4 linked regions of the Drosophila melanogaster genome follow. The protein of the gene in region 4 purifies or fractionates together with the protein of the main gene of each other region. This does not show direct contact. Each region holds a gene or a part of one and is shown on either strand. Other genes may lie near its edges. The genes, in order: Snx3, CG8036, GstO3 and Bacc.

The links.
Region 1: the proteins of Bacc (region 4) and Snx3 purify together in Drosophila melanogaster (affinity purification with mass spectrometry, with the first as the bait; one large-scale study listed by BioGRID). This does not show direct contact.
Region 2: the proteins of Bacc (region 4) and CG8036 purify together in Drosophila melanogaster (affinity purification with mass spectrometry, with the first as the bait; one large-scale study listed by BioGRID). This does not show direct contact.
Region 3: the proteins of Bacc (region 4) and GstO3 purify together in Drosophila melanogaster (affinity purification with mass spectrometry, with the first as the bait; one large-scale study listed by BioGRID). This does not show direct contact.

Annotation. Positions count from the first base shown.
Region 1 is NT_033777.3:12,626,265-12,631,035, reverse strand, and holds Snx3 (sorting nexin 3), read right to left. Parts: upstream 3,006-4,771; 5' UTR 2,693-3,005; coding exon 2,516-2,692; intron 2,148-2,515; coding exon 2,052-2,147; intron 1,815-2,051; coding exon 1,584-1,814; 3' UTR 541-1,583; downstream 1-540. Other genes in the region: Not10 (CCR4-NOT transcription complex subunit 10), read right to left, coding at 1-158, 233-321; Vha55 (vacuolar H[+]-ATPase 55kD subunit), read left to right, coding at 3,515-3,587.
Region 2 is NT_033777.3:8,666,097-8,673,902, reverse strand, and holds CG8036 (uncharacterized protein), read right to left. Parts: upstream 6,036-7,806; 5' UTR 5,867-6,035; intron 5,788-5,866; exon of another isoform or gene 5,695-5,787; intron 5,292-5,694; exon of another isoform or gene 5,198-5,291; intron 4,823-5,197; exon of another isoform or gene 4,729-4,822; intron 4,375-4,728; 5' UTR 4,079-4,374; coding exon 3,975-4,078; intron 3,404-3,974; exon of another isoform or gene 2,998-3,403; intron 2,193-2,997; coding exon 594-2,192; intron 526-593; coding exon 348-525; 3' UTR 201-347; downstream 1-200. Other genes in the region: CG8032 (uncharacterized protein), read right to left, coding at 6,807-6,989, 7,048-7,168, 7,231-7,806.
Region 3 is NT_037436.4:8,517,052-8,520,813, reverse strand, and holds GstO3 (glutathione S transferase O3), read right to left. Parts: upstream 1,930-3,762; 5' UTR 1,861-1,929; coding exon 1,833-1,860; intron 1,303-1,832; coding exon 605-1,302; 3' UTR 519-604; downstream 1-518. Other genes in the region: se (sepia), read right to left, coding at 1-140, 197-224; CG6765 (uncharacterized protein), read right to left, coding at 3,156-3,342, 3,397-3,498, 3,556-3,614, 3,748-3,762.
Region 4 is NT_033779.5:2,750,647-2,758,460, reverse strand, and holds Bacc (bacchus), read right to left. Parts: upstream 6,017-7,814; 5' UTR 5,621-6,016; intron 5,467-5,620; exon of another isoform or gene 5,393-5,466; intron 5,229-5,392; exon of another isoform or gene 5,090-5,228; 5' UTR 5,047-5,089; coding exon 4,801-5,046; intron 2,454-4,800; coding exon 2,291-2,453; intron 2,217-2,290; coding exon 2,167-2,216; 3' UTR 541-2,166; downstream 1-540. UniProt on the Drosophila melanogaster protein: Negatively regulates tyramine beta-hydroxylase tbh and thus the conversion of tyramine (TA) to octopamine (OA).

The sequences.
Region 1 (4,771 bases), on a different chromosome or scaffold from region 4:
CGGTTAGAGCCTCCAGTTCTTTCAGCAGGACGGAGTGTTGGGTGCACCCGGTTTTGTAGTAGCTGACCACCGCCCGGTTGTGCCGCAGGACAGGACCACTGCTCTCGCCGCGCGTCTCCAACTCCTGGAGCAGTTCCAAGCAGCGATCAAACTCCGAGCTAGAATGAGGAGCAGCCGGAAAGGAGTGGCGGTTATGGGTGCACTTCCCGGTGACACGCGGATGAACACTCACTTGTTGAACTGCTCGTGCGCCTGGCACAGCAGACTGTAGTTCTCGTCCTCGCCGGCCTGCGTTTTGGTGGGGGATTCCGCCGAGTCCATGCCAAAAATAAATAAAAACAAAAAAACCGAACCAATCCACAGATGACACAGCGTTGCCAGAATCAACAAGCACAGCGTTGCCACTTTTAACCGTAACTAAAGCGGTTAACCTTATTAATAAATAAGTTAATTCTTAACATTAAACAACTTGTTAAATTTCTTGTTAATTTATTAATTAAAAATTAAATTGTTAATATGAACAAATTAAAATATATTCTATATAAAATTTTAACTTTACAATGGTCAAATTGGCATTTTGCTGTCGATAGGTGGCAGCACATCACTAGTCTAGATTTGCAGCGCGCGAAACCTATACCTTTATTTCAACTGAGACTTTTGTTTGTGATGATATATAATATTTAGAATAATAAAATATCCATTTATCGTTTACAATTTTTGATCCACCTACCCACCCAACTGTAATTATCCTTGCATTCAATCGAAGTTTCCTGTTTCATCATATTGTTATTAATCCTCGCCTGGTTTATATGATGGGAACTACATAGATTCAACATCGACCAGTTGAAGAACAAACTTCCATCCCGCAGAATTGGCTAGGAAAAAGGCTAATATTTTATACAAAACTCAACTTAATCTTCAGTTGCGCATCATTTTCAAGCACATTCAAATAATATCAGCAGTTCAATATTTTTGAATTATTTTAATTTGATTCGAAGTACAATATTATTCACTAAACTGTTTCAAAATATTCAATAATTTGCATACACTTACAAGGGATCGATTTTGGGGTCAGGATGGCTCCCTTATTTTATTTGCTGCTTCATTACCGCTGCAATGGTTCAAAACGAAGAAACTGAGGATCGGGAAAATGGGAGGGGCAGCTCCTACTTTCGAGACTCATTTAGCGAGGGCGTAGTAGGCATGTCTTATGTACACTATTCGTAAATATGTGTATTGTGTATAATATATATATATGTGTATGTATATTGTTATGTATACCATATAAACTTGAATTTAGCATTAAAAATTCCCAATGCTGGTTTTTAACTAATCCCCGGGGGCTGAGAGGGGCTCAACATTAACTGAGCAGCAGCACTTCCCGCCTCGTATCGCGTCGCATAACAGATCCCTTCTCCACCAACCTACATCATCGCTCATCTGCTCCATCCTCCTCCAATCCGGGCAAGCACACACATTCACACGGCTTCCCATAAAGATTTCGTAGCAGGTTTGTTCGTTCGAGTTTTTGCTTCATTGCATTGCTATGGTTAGGGGGTTTCGATTGCGCCGGACTAAGCTGCTTATGTGTTCCGAATCTTGCCGGGCACGTAGTTCTTATCTATGACATTCTCCTGCAGGAACATATGCAGGCAGCGCTCGTTCTGCGCCAGCGGATGTCCGGCTATCTTGTTGATGAAGGCCTCCAGTCCCTTGCGCCGCTCCTCGATGAAGCTTTCGTCAAAGATGCCCTCGTCGCCGCGGAAGGGCATCTGCCGCTTCCATGCCTTTCCTGGGAGTGGTGGCACCACAATCTGCGGGGATATGTATGTTCATGATTAAATACTCTTCAGGCGCTTATCGAAGTTTCCGTTTTCACTTATAAAACTCAGGGTTAAGTTTCCTCTTAAGGATTGAAACTTTTCTAGTGGCTTCTTATAATTACAATGTATTGTTTCGTAATTCTATCTAAATAGATTCTGAATAGTGCGGATTTTGAATCTATTAAAGTGAAAACGAAAGACTACCGCCTGGATCACACTTGTCCGTACCTTGCTATCCCGCTCCAGCTCGTTTCGCAGCCACTCAAAGTCGCTGTAGCGTCGCCTGACACTGGACTCCTTTACCTTAAAGACGGGCAGATTGGTCTAAAAAAGGAGCGATGGTTAATCATATGTGGTGGCCAATCTTATAGAGTAATTCAATGAAAGGTCGGTGCCGCATAAAGGCACCCGCATGCCGCATTTCCGTGACTCAAGCCGTGACACTGGAATCAGTGCTCTGCACTTGTGACTAATGTTTATCGGCCGGCTCGCTTTATAGGCGTATCACCCGCACTCACACACACACACACACACACACACGCACGCACACACACATGCACAGCGAGACAAAGTCGCACGAACACATGCACACAAGTGTGTGAGCGAATTCCAGCGATTATCAATGGTTTTTTCGGTGAATTTTGGAAGGTGCATAGGTGGTGCCCCCATGTACATGTACTACGATCACTCACCCGCATCCGGACCTCGTAGTCCGTGTAGCGCTTCTTGCCCGCCGCCATGGTGGTCAGCGGATTGACCACGTCGATCTCCAGGAAGTTGGCGGGCACGGCGTACGCATCGTCCAGTGTTTGCTTCTTCACGTTTAGGCGGCGGGTGGCGTCGGCGGTTCCATCGGACTCAACCATCATAGTGGTGCAATGCCAGGGGCTCCGGATCGGCAGAGCTATAGACGCCCCTTTTATCGGTTGGAAGAAACGGGTTTTGCACTGGCTATCTCTCTTTGTGCACTTCTTTGTCGCGGCTCGCTGCCTCCGATGTCCCGGATTCTGGTACTATTCAATTGCTGTCCCCGAGCACTGCTTTGTTTTACTTTCTGGGTGTCCAAGTGCCGCAGCGGGTAAACAACTTTTGTAATTTAATTAAATTTGTTCCATTAAAAAACTTTCCAATAATTAACAGAACTGTGCTGTGTGAGTTAACAGTAGGGGTGGTACAAATCAATGCTTCCAAATTTATCGATAACATACGGCGATATGGCAGCTCTCTGTGGGTGAAAAACACTGCTAACTCCAGTGTAGGTAAACAGACTTGTGAGTGCGTAGCTGCCATACCGATTTCGTCACCGGTTCATTTGATACCATATGGCAATGTGGCAGCCCTGCTGCGGTGTGGAACTCCACTAAATGGCAACACTAACAATTAGTGTTGTAAAGCGCGCGAAACGGAAAGTTCCTAACGCGTGACGGGTCATGTGACGGCACGTGACGTCACAGCAGATTCACATTCAGCAATACTTTCAGTTCCAGGGCAATTTTTCATCGTACTCGCAACGACTTCGCAGGCCAAAATTTTGCGTGTGTGTCGCTCAGTACTGTTTCGTAGCTGAAAAATTGTATGTGCTTGTAAAAGACCACGTCCGAATAGTGGCTAAAAGCTAAAATCGTATCTAATTGCAGCTCGAAATTTGCAGTGCACTTTCAAGGTAGAGGCGCAGAAAAAGTCTATCCAAGATGAACGCCCAACAAGCCCAGCGGGAACATGTCCTCGCCGTCTCCCGGGACTTTATCTCCCAGCCCCGCTTGAGTGAGTAATCCACGGAATTTGCAAATAAGTGAAATATCAAGAAATGCATTCGCAACCCAATCAAGTGACCGAAAAAAAAAACCCAATAAGAAAATGCCAAGAAAGTCCGCCATGACAGTTTGCACGAATCTGGTGTGAGGCGAAGTAGAGAAAAAATCAATAAATTCTTGCGACACCCACAAAAACACACAATTAACAACGTAACAGAATGAAACCTATAGAATAATATTTCATATAGAGCTTTAAATGTTCTACGCTGATCAGATCGTAATGGGGAGCAGCCCATAATCATGGTTAACGCTTATTGAAAATTTTCGCCGTCACATGACCGTTCGCTGCTCAGCTGTTTGCGTTTGCCATTCAAAGCTGAACGCACACACTTAAAGGCACCTGACTGCGAACGGGGTGGGTGGCATAACTGACGATTGATCGGTTCGGTCGATAGAGAGAATTTCAATGTTTTTTATGTTGGCTGTATTCATGTGTCAAATTAGTAGCCATTGTAGATAAAAATATAGTTGCATTGTTTTATGCAGCCAGTCAGTGTAGGCTTGTCTTTTAATGCAATTTATATATTTATCTTCGCTGCATATTTCAATCCCTTTTTCCTATCTAATTCCCATAAGATTCCAACTGCAGCTCGTGGCAAGGGCTAAAAACCAGTTGGACAGTCAGCTGACATAATTTAGCCTCCCAGTCAACACCCCCCTCGCGCCTACACTTTTCTTTTGACGTTTGCTTTCTTATCAGATTCCGACTTTCATGTGAGCATTGCGCGACTCGTGTTTTTGTTGGAACTTTATCTAATTGGAAGACGAAGAAAGCAATGTGCTACAAAGTAAAATTATTAAAACTTCGTTTTTATTGAAAAAAAAGTGATTAAAAGAGAAACAAATATTGAGCTGCCCTTTTAGTATATTATTTCCAATGACATCTATAAAAACAACTTAATTGTAATTTTTTTTAAAAAAAGATCCCAATTTTTATGGTCACTTCAGTGATTTAATTAATGACCTCATGGACATTGCAACAATTAAGAAGTAGTTTTGGGTTTGACAATATTAATTTAATAAGACATGAATATAATATAAACTAATGAAGCAACTTTTCTGAGCTTTAAGTTTTCTGATATCGATGAGCTGATAAAGAAAGGATCCGCATATCTGTTGTTTTCTATAGTTTAA
Region 2 (7,806 bases), on a different chromosome or scaffold from region 4:
GCGCATAGCAAATCCAGAGATAAACCAAAGCAAAACCACAGCAAACTAAAAACAAACCAAAGCAAGTCTAAAGCAAACCAAAGGCAAACGCAATGAAATCGTCCAGCCATTTTAAAGGCATGCTTAACATGTAATAAGTAATATAGTAAATAAGTAATATAATATGTAAATAAGGTATATAGTTCGGCTTAACTATTTTTATTAAAGATATTTTATTTCCATGATGTAAGGTTCAAATCAATGAAGCAATTAACAATCTTAGAGGGAATGGTAATATTGGAAGTAAGTAGTAACTGGGGGAATTCCTGTAGGCGGTAAATGAATGTAGCCAGATCACGACTGGTCCCCTAATCCTTGAGGATCTCGTTAACGGCGTTGACGACGTGACGTGCGGAGATGCCGAACATATCGATGAGTACCGACGGAGGACCCGAACGTGGCACGGTGGGCACGTACAAGTGCTTGACAACGAAGTTGCGCTCGCCAGCCAGGGCACTCAGCACAGCTTCACCCAGGCCTCCTTGCCTATAAGAAATTAAGTAAATTTCAAGTTAGCAAAGGAGGCAAATAAAAAGACTACAAAGAACACTTACTGGTAGTGATCCTCCACGACGACTACGCGTCCTCCGCACTGCTTGCCGTGCTCGATGATCAGCTCGGCGTCCAATGGCTTCACGGTGAACGGATCGATCACACGGACGGTGATGCAGTTCTTCTCCAGCTGATCGGCGGCAGCCAGGCACTCGTACAAAGTGATTCCAGCTCCGATCAGAAGCACCTCGTCGGAGCTCTTTTGGCGCACCACCTTGCCGCGGCCAATGGTGAAGGGTTCCTCGTTGTCGTAGATCACACAGGTGTTGGGACGGGACGTACGGATGAAGCAGACACCCTTGGTGTTGGCGGCCAGTTCGACGGCACGCTCCGTGCTCACTGCATCGGAGGGATAGAAGATGGTGCTGCCCGGAATGGTGCGGAACATGGCAATGTCCTCCAGACCCATCTGCGAAGGACCATCCTCACCGATACTGCAGCCGCAGTGGGAGCCCACAAAGTTAACGTTCGTCTGCGAGATGGCGCCCATACGGATCTGATCGAAGGCACGGGTGAAGAAGGTGGCAAAGGTGGACACAAAGGCCACAGTGCGGCGACGGCAGGCGGCTCCAACGGCCACTCCCACAAGATTCTGCTCAGCGATGAAGCACTCAATGTAGCGCTGCGGGTCGAGGTTCTTCAGCTTGTCGGAGAAAGTTGAGTTCTTGGTGTCTCCGTCTAGGGCAACAACACGCAGGTTGTTCTGGCCAATCTTGGCCAGAGCTGTTCCATAGGCCAAACGGGTGGCAATGGAATCACCCAGCTTGTAGGCGGGTGGCGAGCTCAACTTAATGTTGTTGATGTCCACGTCGGGAGCAGCACCAGTCTTGGGCACCGGCTTAGGGGTCAGCTTGACGTTCTTGTTGACAATCAGTCCCTCCAGATGCTTCACCACTTCGGCGGCCTTGTCGCCCAGTGGCTTGCCGTGCCAGTTGTCCAAATCCTCGATGTTGGGGAAGTCCCTGCCCTTGAACGTCTTTGCAATGATGGCGGTGGGCTTGTTCTTGGTGATTGCAGCACAATGGAAAGCCTTGCTCAATTCCTCGACATCATGACCATCGACAACGACGGCATTAAAGCCGAAGGCCTCCAGACGATCACGGTAAACATCCAGCTTATGCTGCAGGGAGGTGGCCTCCGACTGGCCCAAGCGGTTCACATCAAAGATCACGCAAAGGTTGTCCAGTTTATAGTGGCCGGCAAAGTGCAGCGACTCCCAGATGGAACCCTCGGCGGACTCACCATCACCCACCACCACGTAGGTGCGGTAGTCGGCCTTGTCGAAGTTCTTGCCCACATAGGCCATGCCAGCGCCGACGGCGACACCCTGTCCCAGGGATCCAGTGCCCACATCGATGAAGTTCAGACGAGGCGTCGGGTGACCCTCCAGATCGCTGTCGATCTTGCGCAGGTTGTTCAGATCCGCGATGGGGAAGAGACCAGCCTCAGCCCAGGCGGCATACAGAATGGGAGCAGCGTGTCCTTTGGACAGGATGAAGCGATCGCTGGAGGGATCGCGTGGGTGCTTCAGGTTCAGGCGCAGCTGCTGGAAGAACAGCACGGACATGATCTCAGCGATCGAGGCACATGATGTGGGATGGCTATAAAGAGGGAAAAGTAGGCAAAATATTAGATTGTGACAAGGCATTTCGTTTGCATGTAGTTCTAGGTTAAGGTAAGTGCCTAATGAATTATAGAAGTCGACCTCACGGTGGGTAAGTGAAGGCCGATCAACAAAGGAAAAGTGGAACTGAACACTGTGCATACTTGTTAAAAACGTTGTTTAATAAAAGAAATCCATTTGTCTATTGAAGCTTTTATTTAAACCCCCCCCCCCCCCTCTGTTCATATTTCAAATGAAGATTTCTCGAGTATCCAATTGCAATGTACATATAAATAAGATAAGATCCATTCTTGGAATTCAATGTTCCCATGCGATCGTGTTCCAAAAAAAATTGCTTTGAATCGCAGATCTGGCACAACTCCAACCGCAAAGAAAACACGCAACCCCAGACAAAATGGGGGGCTCGTCTTACCCCAGACATATAAATAAACTATAACGAGTACATGCATATGTATTTATTGGCGTTATATGGTGTGATATGTGTGTTTGTCGCGACGTGAGTCCATCGCAATTCCTCACCGGTTTCTGGGACCTTGAACTTTTCTGATCACCAAAAAACCTAAATAATAGCCTTAAAAACCAAATTCTTGGCTTCCACGATTGTGTTGCATGGCGATCTTTGTGAACGCACGTGCTTCTAGATAGTTCCGAAGTGCGTCCCCGTTTCCTGCAGCCATATCAAGAACTATTGAAGGTGATACGGAGTGTTAGCAGTGACCCGGCGCGCTTTTTTTTTTTTTATCAGTTTTCAGTGATTTTCGATTATCATGCGGGGAACACACTTGAGCTGGTCACCTCTAATCGGTCATATCGTGGTCAATGAGTAACCAAACCGGGCTTATCTCGTCGGCAGAGGTCACATTTAGAGCAAACAGAGCAGATCTTATCTTGAACCGTCACAAAAAAAAAAAAAAACGAAACAGAATGGAAAAACTAATGGAGGCGATAAAAGTGTTTTCCTTATCAGCATAGTAACTTTTTTATTTACTGTTGCAGTAATAATTTGATCGCGTCTATCCGAGATATAATTACATTAAAAGCCATACAGTCGTAAATCTCAAGTGTAGGGGATCATTCCATTACTATTCTCATCCCTCTCTTTCCAATTCCACTCCCGTCACAAGCTGTGCTTTCCAACACTTGTATGTACATATGTACATACGTATATTAAATGCCTCTGTTTGATATGTAAGTATGTTTGTTTTTACCCCATGTACATATGTATGTGCTTTCGGCGTTTTGAACGCCACGCACAAAACAAAAGCAAAAGAAATTAAAAGGCAGTAAGAAAAACCTAACGTTTCAAGGTTGTCTAAGGTCAAAAAATATTAGCTCACAATTTAAGGTAGGTGAACGCGGCTTATCACTGAGCACGCAGGCAGGGCAACAAATTCGCAAATTCACTAAAGCTACTGGACAACACGTGGGTTGGCAACTGAATCCCAGGAGGGGTCACTAAAGGAACCGGTCTTCCCATATTTTACTTCTCACATTCATACAAACATAGATGCATAACTATGTATATGCGTAACTATTTTTGTTTTATTTTCTTTTGTAATGTTTCAAAACACATACATATGTATGTATGTATTTAGCAGCCCCCTCAAAAACTTTTTCGCACCCACCCTGGAAATGGAGGGGGTCACCTTTGAAGCAACAAGTGCAAGGTGCACAACTTTTAAAATTCACATCTACACAAACAAATCTAAATACGCACACTTTAATATGCCTATGGACTTTCAGTTATTGATAAACTTACCCCGATTTGGAGGCCTGGGTGGCGTTGATAGAGTGAATTCGCAGTTTCTGGGCCAGATCTTTCAGATCCTGGACGGTCTTAGCTTCGGGCTTGTGGTACGACATCTTTGAAATGCGAATGTAAATTGGATCCGAACAAATGCGGTTTTTGATATGTTGCACAACAAAACTCGGGAGTTTCGGATTCGTTAGCCAAAGGGTGACTCCTCTATGTTTGCAATAGACAGACAAGAGTATCGACGTGGTGGATAAGTAGCTCGAGTCGGAGTTATCAACGGACCACTGCTGCCGGCTTCTGGGAACGAACTGCTCTCGTCGCCGGCACTTCGGTCGCTTTTACGCTGTGGGGGCTCAATCTTGGGAGCGGACTCGCAAAGTATCGGTATCGTCTATCGTCGGCGCTGGAACGAGATGGATATATGTATAAATATGGCATCTTTGCTCGCACACCACCCCTTTATCGGTGCACAGCTGTGGGTGGGTAACTAGTTAGTTTCAAATAGTGCATTGCTGCCTTTCTAAATTCATGCACAATTTTGGTCTAAAATTAAGCCATGAACAGTTGTACCTGAATATTTTCTCATTAAGATTTACAATGCTTTAGTATTTAATATAAGTTTACAAGAATTTAAGGTCCTATTTTTCTGGCCGCGAGTATTAAAGAGCAGCGGTGTTTAAGAGAAGTGCCCTCTCTTTTTGTCACTTTCCCCACCTCGCTCCTGAACAAAAGGTGAATTAGCCGCAAGCGAATTTAACCTTCGATAGCTCAGTTGGTAGAGCGGTGGACTGTAGTTGGAAAAACATGCAATAGAAATCCATAGGTCGCTGGTTCAAATCCGGCTCGAAGGATCGAAAAGATATAAATACCTTTTTTTTATATATTTTGTAGTGCACATACCTTTTTTTTTATATATTTTGTAGTGCACAATTTAAATCAATTTAATTCATCTACAGACATTCAGAATATAACTGAGCTGTTTAAACTAAATAATATAAGAAGGATTTTATTTGGAAGAAATAAACCGTAACTAAATTGATATAGTTTGTGAAAAGCGCCTAGGCTATTAGGCTTGGAAACTATAGGCTTACTGCAATGGACTGAATAGAGAAAGTTGATCAATTTTGTTTGACCTAAATAAGTAAAAATCAAAAATAAATAACCAAATACGGTGCATTTCGTTTGTGCGCATGCATAAAACGAACAACGGCCAAGTTTGAACTCAACCTTCGATAGCTCAGTTGGTAGAGCGGTGGACTGTAGTTGGAAAATTATGCAATAGAAATCCATAGGTCGCTGGTTCAAATCCGGCTCGAAGGATTTTTTGTAATTTTTTGTAATATCCAATTCGTTTTTGTTTTTATAGTAGCACCCGTACCCCATAAAAAATATATAAAATAGTATGCAATTATAAACATGTAGATGCAAAAGACATTTTATAAACACAATGTTATATAAAATGAATAATAATTTGAAGAATATCAATTTTAAAAACACGTGAAAATGAACATGTCTTACTTTACGCGTACATCAATATATTATTTAATTTTAGCTTAGCAACAATCAAAAGAAAAGGTATTTGAACGACATGGCATATGCTGTCCGTGACCTCAATCCATTAAAAGCTAAAATACGCATTAATTAAACCGATTACCAACAAAAGTTTATTGAAGAGTCGCGATGAATCGGATACCCGTTGTTTAACCTACTCCCCAGCACGCCCCCTTCGATAGCTCAGTTGGTAGAGCGGTGGACTGTAGTTGGAAAACATGCAATAGAAATCCATAGGTCGCTGGTTCAAATCCGGCTCGAAGGATTTTTTGTCGAATTTTTTACAAGCCATTTTTAATGCATTCTTGAATTCAGCTTAGTCAATCCTTTTCATTTCCACCTACCTTATCCTTATTAGCTTTTTTACCACACCTTAGCTAAGTTCGAGTAAATGTATCCACAAAAAATTTACGAGTGCAATGCGAAAGACTTTCAAATAATTTAGGATATCTACATATGTTTTGAATTATAGACTTTTGTTGGCCTAAAACCAAAAGCACAACTTGATTTTTATAATACAGATCTCTCCCCATCGTTAAAAAATCAAAACTTTCTTCGACTTGTGTTTTACTATTTAAAATTATACATTTTCATTCAATAATTTATTTATTTAATTTATTTATTTATGCGTACAAGTCGATATTTTTGTCACAAATACAAATAAATATGCAGATCCAAGTGTTAGAACGGACTTATGAATACCAACTTTTCCTTTTCCGCCTTAAAGAGTCAACCAATGCATAATTTAGTTAGCAAAATAGTTAACGTTAACAATAGTTACTTTCAAATATACATTAGTTGCACTCATTGTTCGATCGTCTTAGTGTCAACCTTTTGGTGCAACCTTTTCTACGTTAAATACGAATTTATAAAAATAGGCAATATATTTGTATTCATACACTTATGGTTGCTAATCGGTAATTAGGTCTAAACAACATTATGTCTTTGTGCACACTTTTTCGTCCAAGTACAGTGAAAGCTGCTGCGGGTGCACGGTCTGTTCGAGTTGGCAGCACATTGATCAGCTCAGCTAATTCGTAACTTTTATTTATAGTAATGTACAAGCGGGTTCCAAATAAATTACAAAATAATTGCATCAACAAAATAAAACAAATGCTCACAAGGGATGTACAAAAATGAGTTAAATCGTTTTACGACGCTAGCAAAATAAATTACAATCGAACAAATTAAATATCACTAGCTAAAAAGCGTTTAAAGAGTGTACAAAATAACGTTAATAAATTATAATACAAAATCGATGAGTGGTCGTTGATTAGCTTAGACTCAGTCCAGGGCAATGCCCTGTATCCAGGCGCTCAGATCACTGCCGTCCGACTCCATGATGATTTCGTCTGGCTCATCGCTCGCCAGCAAATGCTGCGCTGCCGTCCGTCCGCTCAAATAGGCGCCGTGTACGGTAGAGTAGAAACTGGAATGGGTGTGCTCTCCGGCAAAGACTATGGCGGGCTGGGGAAATATATTAAAATGTGAACAATTGCCGGGGAAGCAAGCTTGTAGAACTGACCTTCATGGCTTGGGGCGTGGCATAGAGGGGCTGGGCGAGGTTCTCGATGTCCTCCTGAGTTGCGCCCACCGGTATTGAGGTGTATGCGCCACCGGTGAAGTCCTGCGACTTCCAACTGGTACTACAAATAGATTTTTCTTTAATATACAACATTCTTAACCAAATAATGTTTCTTTGCCTTACCAAACACATCGCTTTGGCTTGGGCACGTAAGGATCCTGCAGAAAGTTCCTAAGTATTTCCGTACACTTTTCAGCCACTGCCTCATGGTCGAGCTTCTCCATGTACTCCGCCTCCCGGCCCGAGACCCAGCCCAAGAGCAGCGTGTCCGTCACCTTGGCAAACGAATATATCTTCTTGAACCAATTCTTGCTGAGATACGCTTCGCTGGCCAGCTCCTCCTCGGAGCTGTTCATATCCCGCTTATCGTCGTCCCACAATAGCATAATCTCTGATATATCGGCACTGAGGAATGGTCGCTCGTACTCCAAGAAGATCTTGTCCACGGTGCCGAACATGAGATTCTCGATGGACTCCTGTTTGTACTGCGGCAGCACAGGATCGAAGAGAGTGCGATGGGTGTTTTTCAGTACGCCTAGCGGTATGGTGCATATCACATGGGCTGCATGGAACACTCGACCGTCCTCGCAATCTATGCGCACGTTGCCTGCAGGATAATCACAATTGCTGCTGGTGTTGGACTCCACGGAGGCGCCACGAATTTCCCCCGTCGGCACTTCCGTCACCGTTCGTTCAGAG
Region 3 (3,762 bases), on a different chromosome or scaffold from region 4:
GTCTGTGAGATTAATGTAGATGCTGTGATACGGGATCTGCTTGGCGTCCAGGACCAGATGCACCCGTTGGGCAAATGGGCAGAAGCGCATCGAGTACAGGCGAAGGATACCATCTTCGGGAACATCCGGCATGGGTGAGCCTAGTGGGCGCATTTATTATCAATTATGATTATCCTGGTTTCCTGGCTCTACCCACCTTTTGCCAAATGCCTGCCGTTACTCATGATGTGCGTGCTCGGGTCCAGAGATGCAAGTGGTGATAGCGATTGTCATTCGAGTGATTTATAAAGTGCAGCTCACTGCCCTTCGCCGGTTGGCTTCGCTTACGCGGCTGAACTTGGTGGCTTGCGGCTGACACACATACCAAGCCATGTGGATACAGTGAAGCCCCCTTGCAACCTGCATATTGCTCCAAAATATTTGTTTAAAACAAAACTTTTTAAGAACTAAGTTTTTCGAACCACGTTCTGTGAATCTGGAACGGAATTCTTGCCTTTCTAGCCTTAATTCATTTCTTTGTCACATAAAATATTTTAGTTTTTATTGTTTTTAGAACATTATTAAATCTCCTTTGTTATATAATAGTTTCATTTTCAGTACCGATCTAAGCCAGCAGATCGTAGTTTGCATTGCCGGCCTTGCGGGTGCGCCAGAACTCGTTGTGCTGCTCGGGAGTGGCATAGAAGGACTGCACCACCGAGTCCGCCTTCAGGAGGGCAATCCACTTGGTGATCTTCGGGAAACGACTCTCGTTGAAGTTGTACTCCTTCTGCAACTTCAACTCGATTACAGAGAGGCGTTCGAACCAGGGCCAGATCATGTAGTCCACGAATCCCGGCTTGTTGCCGCCAAAATATGGGGTGCCCCGCTTGGTCAACTCCTCCTCAAAGATATCAAGTGCCGTCCAGTAATCCTCCAGACCGGTGCCCTGCACAAGGATGTTTATGAAGGCACTGGTGATGCTGCTGAAACGTTCCAGCAGAATCTTGTCCTGTGCCCGCTTCAATGGGTCCTTGGGCAGCAACGGATTCTCCGGGTACTTATCGTCCAGATACTCGGCAATAATCAGCGACTCGATGAGCGAGGGCTCACCCTTCTCCGCCACCAGCTGCAGGGCAGGCACCTTAAGCAACGGACTCACTTCCACCAGCCACTCTGGTTTCTCGGTGAGATTGATGTAGACACTGTGATAGGGCACATTCTTGGCGTTCAGGACGAGATGAGCCCGCTGAGCGTAGGGACAGAACCTCATGGAGTACAGGCGAAGGACTCCATCGTCAGGGAGTACAGGCTTGGGGGAACCTAAAGATAGAATTTATTTACCAGTTAAATTTAGGTTATACAAATAAATCAATAACTTCATGAGTCACTTGTGGAACCCTAAAATCCACCCCTGTATTATTATTTGTTTAGCAAGTCATTGCACTTAAGTTAATGTTGATAGGGCCCAGTCGTGATAAAGCTCAAATTTTGTAGCTACGTTATCTTTTAGAGTGTAAATATTATGGGTTATCTGATATCGGGGTGAAAGCTATAGCTAAAAATGTAAGTAAATTTTACAAATCAAATAATTAATTTAATGCATTACCTACAATTGTAAAAGAATAAAGATCGTATTGAAATTTACCAAATAATATACCTTTCTAACTTTTTAACCAAAAAATCCCAGTTATTCATGCCAATATTCTTTAACATTATGAAATATAAAAATCGTTATTCGATAATTACGCTGAATGTTGGAGAACTTGTTTTATAAATAATACTATAAACACTCTAATGACATGGGCGTTTCTCTTGGCGGCGGCGACAACTGGTTTTGCTTGCTCTCTTACCTTTGGCCAAATGTTTACCAGAACTCATTTTGTTTAATTGCAGAACTGAACAAATTCGCTTAACTGTTGAAATGTCGACGGTGAAATGCGAACTGAGTTTTCTCTTCGACGGCGCTCTGTTTATATAAAGTTTTTTGTTTGTGTTTTAACGCGAATAAGAATAATCGAGCTTTTTGCGACGTGACTCTTAGTTTTCGTTAGCTTTTAAAAACGATTTCTCATCGCAGACGTTTATTTCGATTTAAAACGCTTTACTACATTTGCGATTTGTTTTGTGGGAAGAGACAATCATTTCCTCCGCATTATACATAGTACATCTACTTAGTTTGTTAATAATCACGCCTGTTTGTAAATATAGATATATTTTGTTTTTACATGGTTTGGGGGGAGCTTTATTTTTGTTTTTAATTGAACCTCGGAACTACTACGTACATTTAGAGTTTTAAGTTTATGAACTTTTCGTAAAAAGTTTCGATCGGCGGACTTTCGAAATCAAACTTAATCTATGTACAAAAAAGTTCTCGAAATTTCCGTTCATGCCTTACAAAAAATACAAAAAAGTATTAATACATATACAACAGAGTTGCTGACATCATTGAGTCGCGATAAATAGTTGTTATCAGTAATTGCATTCGAAAAACCAAATTGGAAAGTAATAAATAATGACAACTACACTTGCTGCTGGAATTAATTGTTTATCAAAATGTAAAAAGATCCTTTCGCTGCTTTTGGTCCTACAAATGGGATTTCTTTTGATGCATCCTTTTGAAAACTCAAGTGGATGATTAATTTTTAGTTTTTAATTCATTTTAAAAATGTCCGCAAATGGTAAACATTAAAATTTAATGATTAAACTGTATCGTTTTTTTTCCCGAATCAATTGCGCGTTGTTGTTACGGTAAATACATGGGATAAATAGCTAAAACTAAGTAAATACGTACACTTAAAAAAATTCTACACACTGGAGTTAAATGTTGCTTTGCTTTCGTTTCTGAATTTCTTGCTTTGTCTTGTTTTGCATCGTTGCCTGACGATTTCCATTCTAAGTTTCGTTTATAGTTTCGTTAATTTTTTTTTGTTCGCAATTTGTATTTTGTTTGTTGCTCTATAAAATATGCAAACTGGTTGCATTTTGATCACGGTTCTTGCTGTTGCATATAAACATCCATCTCACTTTTGATTATTGGAACGACTTGAGATTTTTGAAAATGAATGAAGAATATGGCTGTTTTCAAATTTATCCATGGGCATCCGGTTTCGAATCCTTCAGCTTCATTCGCCAATGGTCCAATGGTTCTTTGAAGTTGATCCCTATGGCTGGCCTTAGCCATTCGGTGAGGTGGATGCTCCAGGAGATGTGGTTGTGGCCACTGCATCGCTGTTGCTCATCTTGTGCAGCATGAGGGAGTGCGTCGATCTGGTGGCGGTGGAGCTGGGATACTTTGGCTGCATTTGGCTGTTGGACACTGTGGAAGAGCTGCTGGTCGCCGGCGGTGGCGGTGGCTGCTGGCTGCAAGTGAACAGAGTTCATCAGTGTGCTTTTGCTAGCCCTTAGGACACACACCCCTTCTGCTCGCCATCCTTCTTGCTGTTGAACATGGCCAACTCGATCTCCGTGTGCTGGCTGTTCATGTGGCGCACCCACTCCGCCGGCGTATCAAAGGATCTGCACATGGGAAAGGGAGTTAGTATATATTTTGCTTCTATAACTCCAAACACTTACGTGGAACACAAATCGCAGAGCAGAGTTACGTGATCGTGATCCATATTGTTCTCCTGTTGCTGAAAAACACAATATATAATCTGGTTTTAATACATCCAATAGATATTGGTAACCGATCATCACTACGAGTTAAAATCATACTTCAGTAGATTTGGATTTATTAAAGGGATGAGTTGCTGTCCAAGTACTCACCGAAACGCGACGTCG
Region 4 (7,814 bases):
TGGAGAATAATTTTAATAAAAGTTGAAATAAATGAAAGAAATGGCTTATGAAACTTAAAAGCTCTTAAACTTTTAGAAATTTTTGCGCTTATATTTGAATTTGAATATAAAAGTAGCTCAACTTCATTTGCCCAACGAAGAGCCCGGAATTTCATCATTCGTTTTTTTAATAGGCATCTGCTAAGGCTAATCGATTTTCAATCCGAAAAAGGTACTTAATCAAAGGAAATTTCCGATTGAATTTTTCCATCATCCCTTAGTATATGATTTCTTTCATAGGGAGGATTGTGGGAACCAGCTCGTCAACCCCCGAACGAAAACTGGGATATGGAAGGGATGGATCGGAGTAATGTAGGGGCGGCCAATCTATGAATTATGTACCTACATACGTACATGCTCCTGGCTAAGAACTACTACCCCTGGGAACACCGAAGCGAGGTGATTGCCCCACCCAAAATGGCCAACTGCAATTGAAACAAACTTTTATTGGCATCGGAACAGATGCCAAATGGGTGGTATGTACGTACGGTTTTCGCTTTTACGTAATTACAATAATTTATTTCATCGTTCAAAATTGTTTCTTATTCTCGTTTTCGATTCGTGGTTCTTTTCTCTTTTTGCCCTTTCGCGCTACTAGATGTTATTCTCGCACGGAGCAGATACATGAGTAATTGGTATTTACAAAAATGCATAGTTCTTTAACATTGTCTGTGATATCGCTATTGTTTATCAGTTATCAAATCGGATGATTTATCTTGGGCATATTGGTTTAATTGCACTCAATTATTCAGTTGCTGGTTGGCATTACCAGCTTTAAGCCTCTTGGAGTTTGGATCTGGGTCAGTGGGTGGATTGTGTGTGTATGTTGGGCTGGTCTGTCTTTCCGGGACAAATCGTTTAGATTCGAGGATGGTGGTGGTTGGGTGGTTTCGGTGTCGAGTGCCGTGATTGACCAGCTGGGCACGATTCGTTTTGAAATATCAGTCGTTATATGTTTATATTGAGAACTCGTCGTACGGGGTGTGTGTATAAATAGTTTGGATGCCCTTACTAATTAGATACATGTAACATTAAAAGTTTATTTTCTTGCTCGTTTTTCGATTCTCGAGTTGGTTTTTACAATTTACAAATGAATTAGGCTTATCAACGACTCGCTCGCACAACTTATCAACAGAATAATAAAGCCCTCGCTTTAATACTGACATAAGTACTTAAGATTAGTCATAGTTTATAGTTAAATGCTGAAACGAAACAGAAGGTTAGAACTCAAACTTCCCGATGTTTTCCTTTCATTTTTTTTTGTTTTTTTTTTTTGTATTTGCCCCAAAAGCGAAGACCAACTAAGTCCCAGTGCCTTGGGTTTGGGAAATTCGGGTGACTGTGGCCACAATGGGCGCGAAATTTTTGAAACCATAGCTAAAACTTGAGTGTCATTGAATGCTTGTCGAGTATGGGGTTTCAATGATTTTTGCGATTTATTTAAATACAATTTTTATGTTTTATTTGTTTTGTATTTAATTGCATTTGCTGTTTCTTTTTCATGTTCATAATCATGTTCATTTTCAAATGTTCACTTTTGTATTTTTGCTTCTTTCGATCGATCATTCATTCACAAATGTAACGTCTAATTTAATAATGAATTTGAATATCGTGTGTGTGTGTGAGTGTAGTGTATCTGTGTTTAATTCGCGGGCTTCGTTTACGCTACATTTGAAATCTTTGTATATCTTGGTTTACGCATCAACTGGGCGTTTAAATTAGGACTTATGAGATAAAGGAAAGAAAGATTTTGGTTTTGTTTTGTTCTTGTATATAGTGGGGATGTTTACTTTTTGTTGGATTCCGTATAGGTTGCGTTTATACGAAAATGCCTTCAATTACAATTTTTGTTTGTTTTGTAGTTTTTTATAAAAAAAGTACACATAAAATACAATTAAAATAAGGTAAGAAATAAAAAATTATTTCTTAAACATAAAAATTATATACTTTTGCGATTTTTTTGTGGTTTTTTTCTCCTCCTCCTCCTCATTTTCTCCTTGTTGTGGTTTATTTTCTGCTTGTTGGTTTATTATTATATTTTTTTTGTTTTGTTTTTGCTTGTAACTTTTATTTATTATTAATTTAAATTTTTGTTTGTTTTTGTTTGTATTTTTGACTACATTATTATTACGCCTGATCGTCCGAGCCGGAACCGTCATCATTATCATCATCATCATCTGCGCGGGTAAGGGAAAGGGAAAATCCGGGGATTAGATTGATGTGGAAAAGGGAAGTGCTTCCGTGAACTCACCATCACATTCAATGTCATCCTCCTCACCATCGTAGGGGATGTCGTACTCGTCGCTCTCGATTTCACTGTCGCCCTCGATGATTTCCTCCAGAGCCTCTTCCTCATCGGAATCTCCATCGGCGGCCGCGGCCTTCTTGGCCTTCTTTGATTCTGCGGATTTGGCCTGGAAGCGAAAAAAGAGAAGTTAGTAGAGTTCCTTTGGTTTTTGTTCCGCTGATGATTTACTGTATTACAAGCAAGTTTATTGAACAGAAATAAGGGGCCCGTCACTATTAATTATGCATTTTTGATATTAATCTGAGAAACAAACTAAAGGATATTAGGGAGAATTACGGAGCGAAATGGTCCTACGCGCCCAACTCAAACCCACACATCTCCTTGATCAAGGGCATCCAATACCCCTCTCAACTTCCTGTGCGTGTGTACATAGTCATAAAATGTATATTTTCAGCACACAAAACAAGCAGCGACGAAAATCGTTATTTTCGCCGTAAAAAAACATTTGAAAAATGCGCGCGCCAATGTAATTCGCTGCGGCAAAAAGAGACAGCGGGAGAGAGAGTACGTGAGAGAGTGGATTACAAGTGCAACCGCGCTACATTACATCTGTGCTCCGTATGTACAAGGCGACATATTTACTACATAAGGGGGAAGGAAAAAAAAACAATAAGCAGCGACGCCGGCAGCGACATATGTATCCGCATCCGTGAGATACGAAACGAAGCGTGCCCTGTAAGATAGAGAGCGGGCGAGAGCGCCAGAGAGAGAGCATCTGAATCCGCAGCACTGTAAACTGTACCTGAACTGCATGAATGAATCTCTCGCTCTCACTCACAGCCATCCGAACGACAGCTGCTGCAGCGACGTCGGCAGCGAAAAAGGCGCAAAACAACAACATGCGTGGGTTTAACTTTTGCCGCTGACCAACCAACAACAAGATACACATAATGGTATATGGTTTATGGCAGTATATAGGCGGTCACGTTCCCAAGTCGAAGAGAAGCCGCAACACAAGGGCCCTATTTACCAGACTGTTACAAAGCGGAAGAAGCGAAAAACAATCGGACTGTGGAAAAATGTGCAAAATTAATGGCCACCCATCGCCCCCCTTTTTCACTTCGCTTACAGCATAAGTCACGAGACCCAGAACTCGAGAAAAGGCCAATAGAGGATTAAGACGAACAGGGTGTATCTGTATTGGCAAGAACTAAGCCTACTATTACTGGTGTTATAACTGGGTAATCAATGTATCTTGATTTAGTTAGAGGTTTTAGTTTGTGTTTTCTAAGCGTGAAGATACATTTATAGGGACAAAAGCTAATCTGTTGTTTGGAATCGAAAGATATGGAAACCAACGAATAATTTTCAAAACTATTCTTGAAATCTATACAATTCGTTACTGTACCACTAAGAATTATCCGTGCCAAACGTATCTCAACTAATTCATGATCATGGGATAATGATCATTATTCAATTGAATCCCGAAGAAACCCAACTAACTTTTGCGACACCCTGTTTAGCCGTCTTGTTTTATGTACTAAAATAAATACGCATAAGGCAGAGCAGAAAAAAAAGTGAAAGATAAATGTAAGCACATACGCAAACAGACAAAACGGTGTGTATACAAATTACGAGGGAGAGAGTTAGCAGCGCTCTCTATTTGTATCTATCTTTCTCCGGGGAGAGAGAGAGAGAGCGAGAGAACGCTCCCGTTAAACTGTACATTTTTATTTCGAGTTTGAGTCTGAGAAAAGCGCTTGATTTGCCAATTTATCTGCCTTACTGGCCGAACTATTTTATTTTTATCAAGAAATGTGCTACTCGATTATGGAATGCGACTGCTTCAGGCCCCCAAAACTTGTTCGAATACCGCGTGCTCTTGGCGATACTAACCAAAAATAAAGTGGCCAAACATGACATGAGTAATTTACCGGCCGGCAATGTGTGTTTTCATTGAGAGAGTGCATTGGCATCGCGCTGAATTGCGTTTGCGTTTGCATTTGCAATTCCCGTAGCCACAGCGACTGATAAATAAGGCCAAGCGTATGAGTTATAGACGTAATGCCACAATGTATCTATTGCTGGGTAACGCTGTTCAGCGGACACGTCAATGCTAATGACCTATGGGTTTATTAAAAACACATTACCCACCCCACCAAAGAAAAGGCCCTGGCTAACTGTACTCCCCGCCTATATAAGCACGGCGGCCCTCCTAACCTCGATTTGAACCTAACAACAATAATCTTTGATTGCCGGACCCGCAATCATCTTGGTTAATCGTAAACAACACAAACGCACAACCGAGCCAGCTATACGCTCTCTCTTTTGGGGGCATATGTAAGCCATTGGGAGAGTGCGCTGTTCCGAAAAACGTGTGTATATCTATTTCTAGAATTTTTCCTCGAACAATGCTATGCTACTGGCATATTGGCTTGGAGTGAATCATTAGAGGGGCCTCCTTTTGGTTTTACCGCGTAAACAACTACCTAGTCACATAGATCAGTACTCACTTCTGCTGGCCTCTTGGTGCCTTTCACGGATTCCTTTGCGGGGGCAGCGGCGGCGGCATCGGCGGCATCCTCGCCGTCCTTTGACGTACCGTTGTCGGCCGCGTCGCCGGCGGCATCGGCAGCAGCGGCCTTATCCTCGGCGGCCGCCTTCGCCTTGAGATCGTCCTTGACAGCAGACACATCATCTGCCGCCACCTTCTCCACGGCCACATCGCCGTTGTTCTGTTGTTCCGTAGCAGCCGACATATTTGAATTGGTTTCTTTGAGGTTTTCCGGAACTATTTAGTTTCTGCGTTATATAGAGAACAATTCGGGTTGGTTTTGTGGATTGTCTTGTTGTTGACAAAAAACCAGCGCAAAATACTCGGGGAAGGCGAGAGAGAGACAGAGAGAACCGCACCGAACGAAGCACACAAACACACTGAATGCGATTCAGCTGCGGGCCGTCTATTTAAGCACTGCCTCTCGAGGAGAGAGTAACTTTCTTTAAACGCTCTCGCTGCTCTCTTTTTCGCTCTCCCCGAAATCGTTACGACGCTCACTCGCTCTCTCTCTCCCACGCCATTGGCCCATACAATACACTCAAAAAATCGCCGCGGCATTTGTACAGCCGCAGTCGATAAGACAACAACAACAGCCCAGAGCAGAGCGATCGTTGGATTTTTGGTATATTATTTTGCGGTGATTTTCTGATAATATAGTATCTATATAGTAAGGCTTTAGGAGGTGCCATATATCAGGCGGCGCTACGGCAGGCAAAAGGATTTACTCGTAGGCCCCACTGATGTATGGAATATCCGTTTTCCTTTGGTTTGCTAACCACCGATATGTGCTCCCGTCGACGGTTCGTACAAGACTGAGCTTGCCGTCCGTTCGATGGCTAGAAATTGCCGCTTGCTTCTTCTTGCGCCAAATCGGTTGCAGACATTTTTGCCTATAACTTGAATACCTTTGTTCGGATCGGTTCAGAGACTGATCGAGGCTATAGCTGGTAGTATCCGCTTAATTTTGGGCTTTTTCCCGAGGCGCTGCGATCAAAACTAGATCCGCAAATGACAAGTTGAGTGGGTTTCCTGATTAATTCCATACAAAATCTGCTTGGGTTCCGTGAGTACGGTTGTGGGCGCGTTTGGCGGTAAATTTGAAAATTGCGCGCGCCAGTGGTGCGCTTGTGGGCCTGGGGGCGGGGTCTGGGGGTTGGTAGCGGCGATGGTGGTGTGTGGTGTGTGTGGTGCAGTCACTCTGTGGCGTTCTGACCGTTCGTCGGTGGAACAGAACAGAACAGAGCAGAACAGTGGATGTGGATGTTGCCGATGGGAAGAAGTGTTGCAGCATTGTTGCCGCAGATGCAGATGTGTGTGCTGTGTGTTGTATTCAGCACGGTATTCGTATTTATAGAGTGGACCAGCGTGGGACGCAATGTCGTCGCGGATTGGGGTCAATTGATTGGTAACGTGTGGGGAAGCAGGTGATTTTCGCGGACCAGGAAAGCGGGCAGCTATTTTTGAGATTCTAACTATTTAGATGCACGCAATCGGGGAAATGCTCTATTCCGGGATTATGCGTCTTAAAACTAGAATTAGAGAACTGGAGAAATAGCAAGAAAACAGCAATTTGCAACCCCATAAGATTCGAAAACATTTAAGGGTTAGTTTTCGAAATCGGCAATTTCCAGAAATATTAAACATCCTTAAGTCCTAATGGCCCCACCAAAGACTTCGACTTAAATGCCAATGCCTATCACTCGTCGAATTGGGTCCACCCTTGACTCTTTTTTCATGTGCCAATCTTTCTGTTGATCCCGCACTTGTGGTTCGACCATTTGATGGTGATGGCTTCGTTCGCCGCACGAACCCAGTGGGTTCAGGAATCGCCCAATATATGGGAAACTGGAACTGCCGAGTAGGCTATAACATATCGCCCATATCACCTGGTAGTCAACGTGCTCGAGTTGTACTGGCTCTTCTCTATAAATCTGTGTTATCAGTGGGACAATCACTGCGAGGTTGATCTTCAAGTTCATTCAAAATGTGCACATTAACGAGCGGAATAACAACCCATAAAGTAATACTAGAGGAATTCGACCGGAAGACATAAGGTTCTTGGTGCTATTTCCAGTAGCCTATCGACGAAAGGGTAATAACTATCGTTTGCCGGGTATCCAACAGTCGAGTTTCGATTGGACAGCCTCTCACGCTTTCAGCTATTTTCGTGCGAAAGCAATGGCAAATACGAATACCTAGGCTATATATCTGGTAATCTGAATAATACGGTCGACGACAGAGCGAGCGGACGACTGTCGACAGGCGGATCGCTAATTAAAACCGGCGAACATGTTCCGCGGCATCCCAACCGAGGCGGCATGGTGAACGTAAACACCTGTAATCGTGGCCCGTCGTCCACTCAGTTATCACATATTTGAGGAGCAGCGATGACTTTTTGCCTGAACATCGCTGCCTGATAAGCCGATTTGCGTCTCCATTTCGCTGTGCTTCCATGGGCCGCCTACCGTTCTTCTCTGGCTGTCACTGTCTCACTTTCCGTCCGCCGAACTCTCAGTATCCGTTCGAGTGGCTTGACGCTCGTCGGCCCAAGATTGGTGGGTCTCTCGCGATACGAATAGTCGTGCTCATCGGGCTTGTGAGACCACCTCTCGGTGTTGAACAATGGTATCTAGATTCCTGAGGACAACCTGTGCCAATTTCTCGAGTTATCGGCTTGGTTGGTACGACCGTAGTTACTTCAAGGTTAGACAACGGTTTCAAATGCAGGCAACCACCGGGTAGGTAGGATCTCAAGCAGGCAGAAATGGATGGATGGTCCTGCTTCCCGGAACCCAAACATCTGTCGATTCGGAAATTTTATGGCCCTTTCGAACACGAAACTAACGCAAGGGATTTTTCCCCGACCGTTGTCGTTACTGACCTGCCTCAGGAATTTCTCCCAGTGCACTTACACGTTGTTGCGTCATTAATTTGCTGTAGCATAAAGGTGCGAACAAATCTCAATGCAAA